Linked DNA regions of Schizosaccharomyces pombe. The gene in region 1 interacts genetically with each later gene. Each region holds a gene or a part of one and is shown on either strand. Other genes may lie near its edges. The genes, in order: klp2 and dli1.

Evidence for each region.
Region 2: of klp2 (region 1) and dli1, changing one enhances a phenotype caused by changing the other (phenotypic enhancement), as found in Schizosaccharomyces pombe (one study listed by BioGRID).

What each region holds. Positions count from the first base shown.
Region 1 is NC_003424.3:1,719,654-1,723,581, forward strand, and holds the start of klp2 (kinesin-14 family minus-end directed microtubule motor Klp2), read left to right. Parts: upstream 1-2,300; 5' UTR 2,301-2,341; coding exon 2,342-2,371; exon of another isoform or gene 2,372-2,416; coding exon 2,417-3,928. Other genes in the region: gamma-glutamyltranspeptidase Ggt1, read left to right, coding at 1-1,735. UniProt on the Schizosaccharomyces pombe protein: Minus end-directed microtubule (MT) motor that is involved in spindle microtubule shortening, kinetochore capture, and polarization of cytoplasmic microtubules. During mitosis, promotes spindle microtubule shortening by depolymerization.
Region 2 is NC_003424.3:4,736,744-4,740,671, reverse strand, and holds dli1 (meiotic dynein intermediate light chain Dli1/Dil1), read left to right. Parts: upstream 1-1,774; 5' UTR 1,775-1,817; coding exon 1,818-1,893; exon of another isoform or gene 1,894-1,931; coding exon 1,932-2,075; exon of another isoform or gene 2,076-2,117; coding exon 2,118-2,342; exon of another isoform or gene 2,343-2,388; coding exon 2,389-2,483; exon of another isoform or gene 2,484-2,524; coding exon 2,525-3,067; 3' UTR 3,068-3,191; downstream 3,192-3,928. Other genes in the region: phosphatidylinositol 3-kinase Pik3, read right to left, coding at 1-435; TTT co-chaperone complex LRR repeat subunit Tel2, read right to left, coding at 3,204-3,928. UniProt on the Schizosaccharomyces pombe protein: Component of the cytoplasmic dynein which acts as a motor for the intracellular retrograde motility of vesicles and organelles along microtubules. Promotes oscillatory nuclear movement and efficient pairing of homologous centromeres during meiotic prophase.

The DNA.
Region 1 (3,928 bases):
ATTTCTTGTTTTGGCAGGCACAATACTTTCTTTATACATCTGGCCAATTTTATCTCCCGACCTTTTTTTTGCAAATCAACGGTGCTCCTTCAAATATAAAAACAAAGGCTCGCAGAGAGTAGTAGTTGAAGGAAAAAATGGAGTTGTGGCTACGGAGGAAGAGACATGCTCCCAAATTGGTGTTGGCATCTTGAAGGCCGGTGGAAATGCAGTGGATGCGGCTATCGCATCGGGAATTTGCATTGGAGCTGTCAATTCATTTTCAAGTGGTATTGGCGGTGGTGGATTTATGTTAATACGCCATCCAAATGGTACAGCACATTCCTTGAACTTTCGCGAGACTGCTCCAGCGGGTGCCAGCAAAAATATGTTTCATGGTAACTCTACCCTGTCACAGGTAGGTGGTCTTTCCGTTGCCGTCCCTGGTGAAATTGCTGGCTACGAGCGTGCTTGGAAAATGTATGGCTCTCTACCTTGGCATAAGTTGTTTGAACCAACCATACGTCTTATGAGAGATGGAATGCCAATGCCCAAGGAACTTGCGTCTCGCATCAGACGACCCGAGTTTTCCTATTTCAAGACTCATCCAGATTGGTCTAAAATATTTGCTCCAGAAGGTGTTTTTTTACACGTTGGAGAAAAGTTTTATCGGCCTGCTCTAGCGTCTACCCTCGAAGAAATAGCTAAGTTTGGTCCTGAAGTGTTTTACACAGGAAAAATTGCAGAAAGGCTTGTAAAGTTTGTTCAACAGCAAGGAGGTATACTAACCATGGAGGATATGGCCAATTTTTCAGTTGTTGTGGAGGAACCTATTTATGGTAACTTCTATGATCGTGAGGTTATTACTTGTGGATCCCCTTGTAGTGGAGAGGCTTTGATTTTAGGTTTAAATGTTCTTTCAAAAGTAGATTTAAGTGAAGGTACTTCTATCCTTGGTTGTGAAATGACGGATATTGGCGTGCACCATCTAATTGAAACAATGAAATGGATGTCCGCTGGACGGACTGTATTAGCAGACCCAACTTTTTACAATAATACAGATCATGTTGAACAGTTACTTTCTTTGGAATATGCTGATGAAATTCGCAATAATATTTCTAACGAGAGGACTTTTGATTTTACTCACTACAAGGCCGAATACGATTTCCCTAACGATCACGGCACTACTCATCTTTCCGTTATCGACAAAGACAATATGGCAGTCGGACTCACAGCTTCTATCAATTTGATGTTTGGTTCACAACTTTTGGAACCTGAAACGGGTATTATACTGAATGATCACATGGACGATTTTGCTTCTCCAGGAATAGTGAATGCTTTCGGTTTGAGTCCATCGCCATACAACTTTATTGCCCCTGGTAAGCGACCACAAAGCTCCGCGGTGCCTACGATTTTGGTATATAATGGTGAAGTTGAAATGGTTCTTGGTGGTAGCGGTGGCAGCCGAATCGTGACAGCTGTGTTAGACACAATTATTAAAAAATATAAATGGGGCAAGTCATTGTTAGAATCTGTTGAGAGTCCTAGATTTCATCATCAGCTAATGCCTAATATCGTCTATATCGATGAAACTGTTGAAATTGAAGTTCTTAGAGCTTTAGAAAAGTTTGGTCATATAGTGGATTTAATCCCCGTTCAATATCCTTTCAGTGAAATTCAAGCTGTTTTCCGCACCAACGGCACATTGTACGGTTTAAGTGATAGCCGAAAACAGGCTGTTGCTGCTGCCTATTAAAATTTCACTAAATTATTAAAAAAAACTCCTTAGACGCTCACAAAATTTTCCTTTATTTGTTGTTATTAATTTATCAGGTTTATTAACTTATTCTCAATCTTTATGTGCTTTTTACTGATCTTTAGCTTGTGGCTGGGATGAGAGAAAAATATTATAAAGCATAAAACGTATGAATGATCACTGTCTACATATTTGTGCACATGATGGTGATGATTGGACCTTCGTTAGTTAGATAGATTACATTCTTTCCTAGATTTAGAAAGTTTTAGCAAAACGAAGAACAATTACATTTAACTTTCGAATTTATTCTAACCGTAACATAATATATCTTCATACTTTAAACGTAAAACAGTAAAATATTTCTTTCGATGTACGAATGGCAAATATTCCTTTACTAATTAAAAATACTTTACTGTGTTAATTAATACTAAATCATTAAATTGAATTAAAGATTCACATAATATCGGATATTTGCTTTTGACCTTCGTGGTCCATGGAATACCACCATACAAATTGTTGAATAGTGAACTTTTGATTTAAGCTTATGAAACTCAACTTCTCTAACACCTTACAATACCCACATGTTTTTGGGGAAAAGGAGAAAGTATGGAAGAAGAAGGACATAAAAGTTTAACTGTAAGAACAAATTTAAGTGTAATTTATTAATTTTTTTCCTTATAGTCGCATCTACCTCAGTCCTCGAGTTCTTTGTCGCAAAGTCGAGAAATTGCTAAAGAATTTACGTCTAATATACCTCCTCCGACTATTAAAACTAATTCATCTTCATCAAATATTCTGAAACCTCGGTTATCATTGCAAAATGAAGTTAACCAACTGAAACCTGCTAAATTTCCCAGTAAGATGTTACCACCAGGAAGCTTAGCCTCGGTTAAATCTTCTAGTCTTGCAAAAAAAGCCAGGCCTTTTACCGCGTCCTCTAATCCCAGGATGCCCAAGTCTGCACATCCCATTTCAAGTCGGTCAGTGTCTGCTTCTTCTCATTTTGGTAGACCTGCCAGTGCTGTTTCATCCAGTTTAAATAGTAGCGATGATGTGAGAAGTATGTCAGATGAAAGTATGGAATCTTATAATGATGAAAAGTCTGTTAATGCCAGCGCCTTAAGGACTACAGAAGACCGGTTGAGGAGTATGGAAATGGCTTATGCTCAATTATCGGCTAAAGTTATTCCTTCACCCTCAAAAAGACCAGCTAATTACAAATTTTACGAACAGAGAATTGCTATGCTTGAAGAATCATTAGAAGTCGAGAGGAGTCGTACATCGGAGTTACAAGAACAATTTTCAGTGGCTCTGAGAGAAAAAGCTGAGGCGGAGGCTAATAAAATCGTTTCTCAAAAGGGTATGGAGAGTTTGGAGATAATGTTAAACTCAATGAAAAGTGAAAATCATCAGCGCATGGCCATGTTGGAAGAGAACCATGCTCGGGTGATGGAGACAGCTGAGCTTCAGCATCAAGCAGAATTACAGGATTTTGCTTCCAATATTGAACAAAAAGCAAATAGTTTAATCATGGAGTACAAAAATGAATTGCAGTCTGCCGAAGAACACTTTTCACACAAGATTAAAGAGCTTACTTCAGAAAATGAACTCAAAATTTCCAGACTACAAGAGGAAAAGGATTCTTTATTAAAGAAAGTTCAGGAGGGCGCTTCGCTGGCTATGCAACGTGTCCAAAATAAGCATGATCTAGAAAAAAAAAGACTGCAATCTGCAATTCAACCGCTTCAGGAAGAAAATAATTCTTTGAAACAGCAGATTGAACAATTACAAAGAGAACTTGCTTCTGAAACAGTTGTTAAGGAAAATCTGAAATCTTCGTTGGACCAACAAAGTGCCAACGTTCAGAAGCTTGAATCTACAAATCGGGCTTTAGAAAGCACTATCAAAACACTTGAAGAAGATGTTTATACTATGAAAAATAAGATTATAGAACTAGAAGGCATTTTAAAATCTGCCAATGTTGAGAGAGACGGTTTAGTTGAGAAACTCATAGCTGAGGAAACTCTGAGAAGAAAACTCCATAATACCATTCAAGAACTTAAAGGTAACATACGCGTTTTTTGTCGAGTGCGACCTCCCCTTGGCGATGGAGAATCAGCACAAATAGCTTTTCCTGATCAAAATTCCGAAGCTAGTACTATAGAGATTGTTGCTCAAGCCCCAGGGTCTTCG
Region 2 (3,928 bases), 3.0 Mb from region 1:
TGTTGGCGAGTACTTCTTTATTTCTTTTGAAGTCTGTAAAGGTATTTTTTGGAGACCTTGCCTTAGTAAATTATTTTCATCAAAAAGTCGATACGTTGTACAGCCCACAAATTCATAGACTTCCTCATCATTAAAGGATGGTTTCCAGGCAGACACTACAAATTTTGCGTTCAATGAGAGCTCAGAAACGGTAACCCCAAAGTCGAGCCACTCATGAGTTGATATCTTAGAAAGCTCAGTAGGAAGTAGACTCTTATTTGGTATTTTTGAAACGAAACATTTTTGCATTAAAGATCCTGATTCATTCCCTGAAAACAATTGAATGGTGCAAATGCATGGTTCTTGACTATCTTGATATTCAATGAAGCAAAATTTAACCAAGAATCTGGCAGTCACCTTGCTTGAAGGACAATATGAAAAAACAAGTCTATCCATTCCATATGTAAAGCATTTATTTTTTGGAAATTTCACTTTTTACCATACAAATAATAGCCTGGGATTGTTAATGTGGTGGTGTACTAGCTTTACTAAATGTGGTAAGACAAGAAAGGCTGTAGCTAAAGTACACGAAGCAATGATGAATTATAATACTGTGGAATTTAAGAAATACTTCGTAAAATAAGTACAAAATGCTGAATACGGTATAATAATAATAATATCTCATAATCTACTACACAAGTGTTTTTGCTGTAATTTTTGAAATACAAAAAATAGGACGCATTCATCTCTACATCTCGATGTAAAGTCAAGTTTTGAGTGTCTGAACATAACACTGTAAGCAAAGCTTGAGGCGGAATAAATGGTAAAGCCGAAGAAGCTAAAACTGCTCTGAATAATTGATCACCTATACCCTCTATGCGCTAATGGTGTTTTATGTTTTGTGTTTGCTCACATTGAATTAATTATTTTTAGTTTTCAAGCACCGGAACGACTAGGAACTAAGCAACAATTGCTGCTTGGTTAACAATACGATCAACTATGTGGTTCATTCAACAGCACATAATCTTTTGCAATAATTGATATAAATTCACACTTTCTTGAAATATAAAAAATACAGTTTTATGAATTAACGTTGTTGTAAAAGAAGACCTAACAATTTGCTTAAAAGTGAACGTAAATAACATTAAATGATAAAAATGAATGTTTTAATATTTTATTTTATCTGGTAATTTTTTAAAAAAATAAGTTCGATAAAATAACAAGCCTGTAGATTTACTGTCATATATTCATATAATATTCGGAGCAAAAGCATATTAAAAGTCTGATAATTTTAAATTTTTATTTAATTGTAAAATTTAGAACGAACTAATTATTAATCTTTCATAATAAAACTAATTATTTTATAGAGGCCCTATTTTAGTATCAGTTTATAAAAAATACGTGTCTGCGTAAACCAGTGGAATTTTCTCATAAGATTTTCCTGTTTTTAAATTCATAAAAAATTATATTTAAATCTTAATTGACTTCAATTTGCGGGATTCTCTTATCGGTCGCTTTTGCAAATTTATCGTGAAAGTGACTCAAAAGCTGTTGGCATTATTACTTCACCAATTTAAAACAAAGTTGAGTGGGAATTTTATTCATTTATTTTAATTCTATATATTATGAAGATTTTGCTTTAACCTCGGGCAGATACATTATTAAAGAATATGTCTAGCATACTAGTACTTGTAAAAATATAACGATTTTCATTGTATTATAATAAACTTGAGATCTGAACTTCGTCATCTAAATGATCCCTTTTAGCTAAAGTTTAATCGTTTGTCTTTGACTTGTGCCTGAACACTTTTATTAGTGAACTACATAAATAATTGCATATGGATGAATTATTGGAAAAGTTGCTAAACGATCTCAAAAAGAAGGAACCGAAAGCATGTAGTATTATATGCATAGGTACGCTCCATATTGAAATTCTTATTTATCATGAATAGGTGAAGACCTCGATATTATACAATGTATGAACGAGCACGGATGTTTTAGCGGGGGAAGTTATTCAGAATTATCAAATGATTGTGAAACTGTAAATTTTCGAGGAATTGCTTATAAGTGTTTCTTTACAAAGGATCAAGTGAAAGGTACGCGATTAGTACGATTAACCAATTATCTCATGCTGCTAGTAAACTTTTGGCAAATTTCACATTTAACTGGTGGACTATTCAATTTTCTTGTTAGTCAAGCTTTAAACGAGCATGGATTGGATCTGTTATGGATAATAATGGTCGTAGCGCAGACTCTTTCCGCGTTAGTTTCCTTTCCGGAGAAGTTATTAAATATACTTCGGAATATGAAAACAATTCTTATAAATACCGAGGAAACTGTGAGGAATCGATTTGAAGAGTCTCGTAAGATTGATTGAACTCAATTATCCTGTTAACTGATCTGCTTTAGAGAACAAAAAACTGGTAGCTTTACTGGATAAGAACTCGACAACATTGGATATAAGTAGTGGTATTCTACTAAACTTTACGGTTGTTCTGAAACAGGTAAGATACCCTTGAATACTTGCACATTTACTAATTTGTAGTTGAAGCATGCTTTAGGCTTGCATACCTCAGTCGATAATTCACAGGAATTTATTTTACAGTTTTTGCGAACGACACTTTTATCCGTACCAACGTCCTCAATTGTTTCTATCTCAGCGGACCCAACAAGCTGGAATAATCTCAACGTTTTAATGAAGTATAATTTTATGTTTCAAAAGTTTAAACCTCGAGATTTTCATGCTCAAACAATTCAATCAGAAACTATGTTTATACCTCCTTGTTGGGACACTATCTCTAAAATACAGAGTGTCAATCATGAATTTAATATCGCCCTTTTTAAACAAACCGCTAAAAATTTTTACGATACTCTTGACATAAGTTTATTACTTGGTTTATTTGATAAGAGTATATCGATGTTGAACTGTCATTCCTCAAAAATATCGGATGGAGATATACCCTACAAATCGCACCAAGTTTTTTTGCAAGAACTACAGAACAAGTATAGCGAGATTAAAACGTATTCTTCAAACAAATTAAATAAATCCTCCATAAAATCAAGTTTGTGGAAGGACTTAATTCAATAATTGTAATTGGCCTAAAGACATTCATTATTATTACAAAATCATATTATTTAATTAAAATGCATTAATGAGTTTCTGTCAAAATTTCAACCTCATAAATAATATTTTTTTTCTTTTAAATCATGACCATAAAGAACTATTAAAGTCCGGCTAATCCAAATCGCTCTGGAACCAAAGGAGCTGAGTCATCCAGTAATTTTTCCAATGCGAGCGTTCTGAATTCTGAAAGTTTATTTTCAAATAGAATTAAAACAGCTGCTGAGAGTGACTTAACTTTCTCACCTTGATCAGGGCTTTCAAAAAGAAACTTAGTATACGCCTCAAAGAAGAGCAAATGCTTCCCAAACTCATTAGCTAAAGTACGCCCAGAAGATATTTCTAAGATAGCCAAAAAACTAAACAAAAGCCCTTCATTAACTTCTGGAGTGTCTGATCGAAGTCGGCAGACCTCATTTAAAACGTCAACATATTCCCGGAGCATTCTGTTTGCCCCTTCTATCTTTGAGGTAAAAGTTTCAAAAAAGAGAATACCCAATGTCTTAAGATAGTAGACTAAAAACAAAGGCTCAATAAAAGCCGTTTTCCTAGATGCCAGCATATAACCACTGGTGAGGAGCAGGAACAATGATTTATCTACCTTAAGCGATAATCGATTGGCCTTTGGGAGTGGCTTTTTCGACTCGATTTCCGACTGCTTTGAAATATACCGTGTCTGTAAGAATTTCGGTCCCTCCGCATAATCCTTGCATTCACTCATTACCGGAAAAACTAATTTCCTTTCTAATTCATCACTAATCTTTTCAATAGTGGGTGAATAAAACTGATCGTGTAAATTTCCTGGAAGTAACTGGCTGGGAAAAAGAC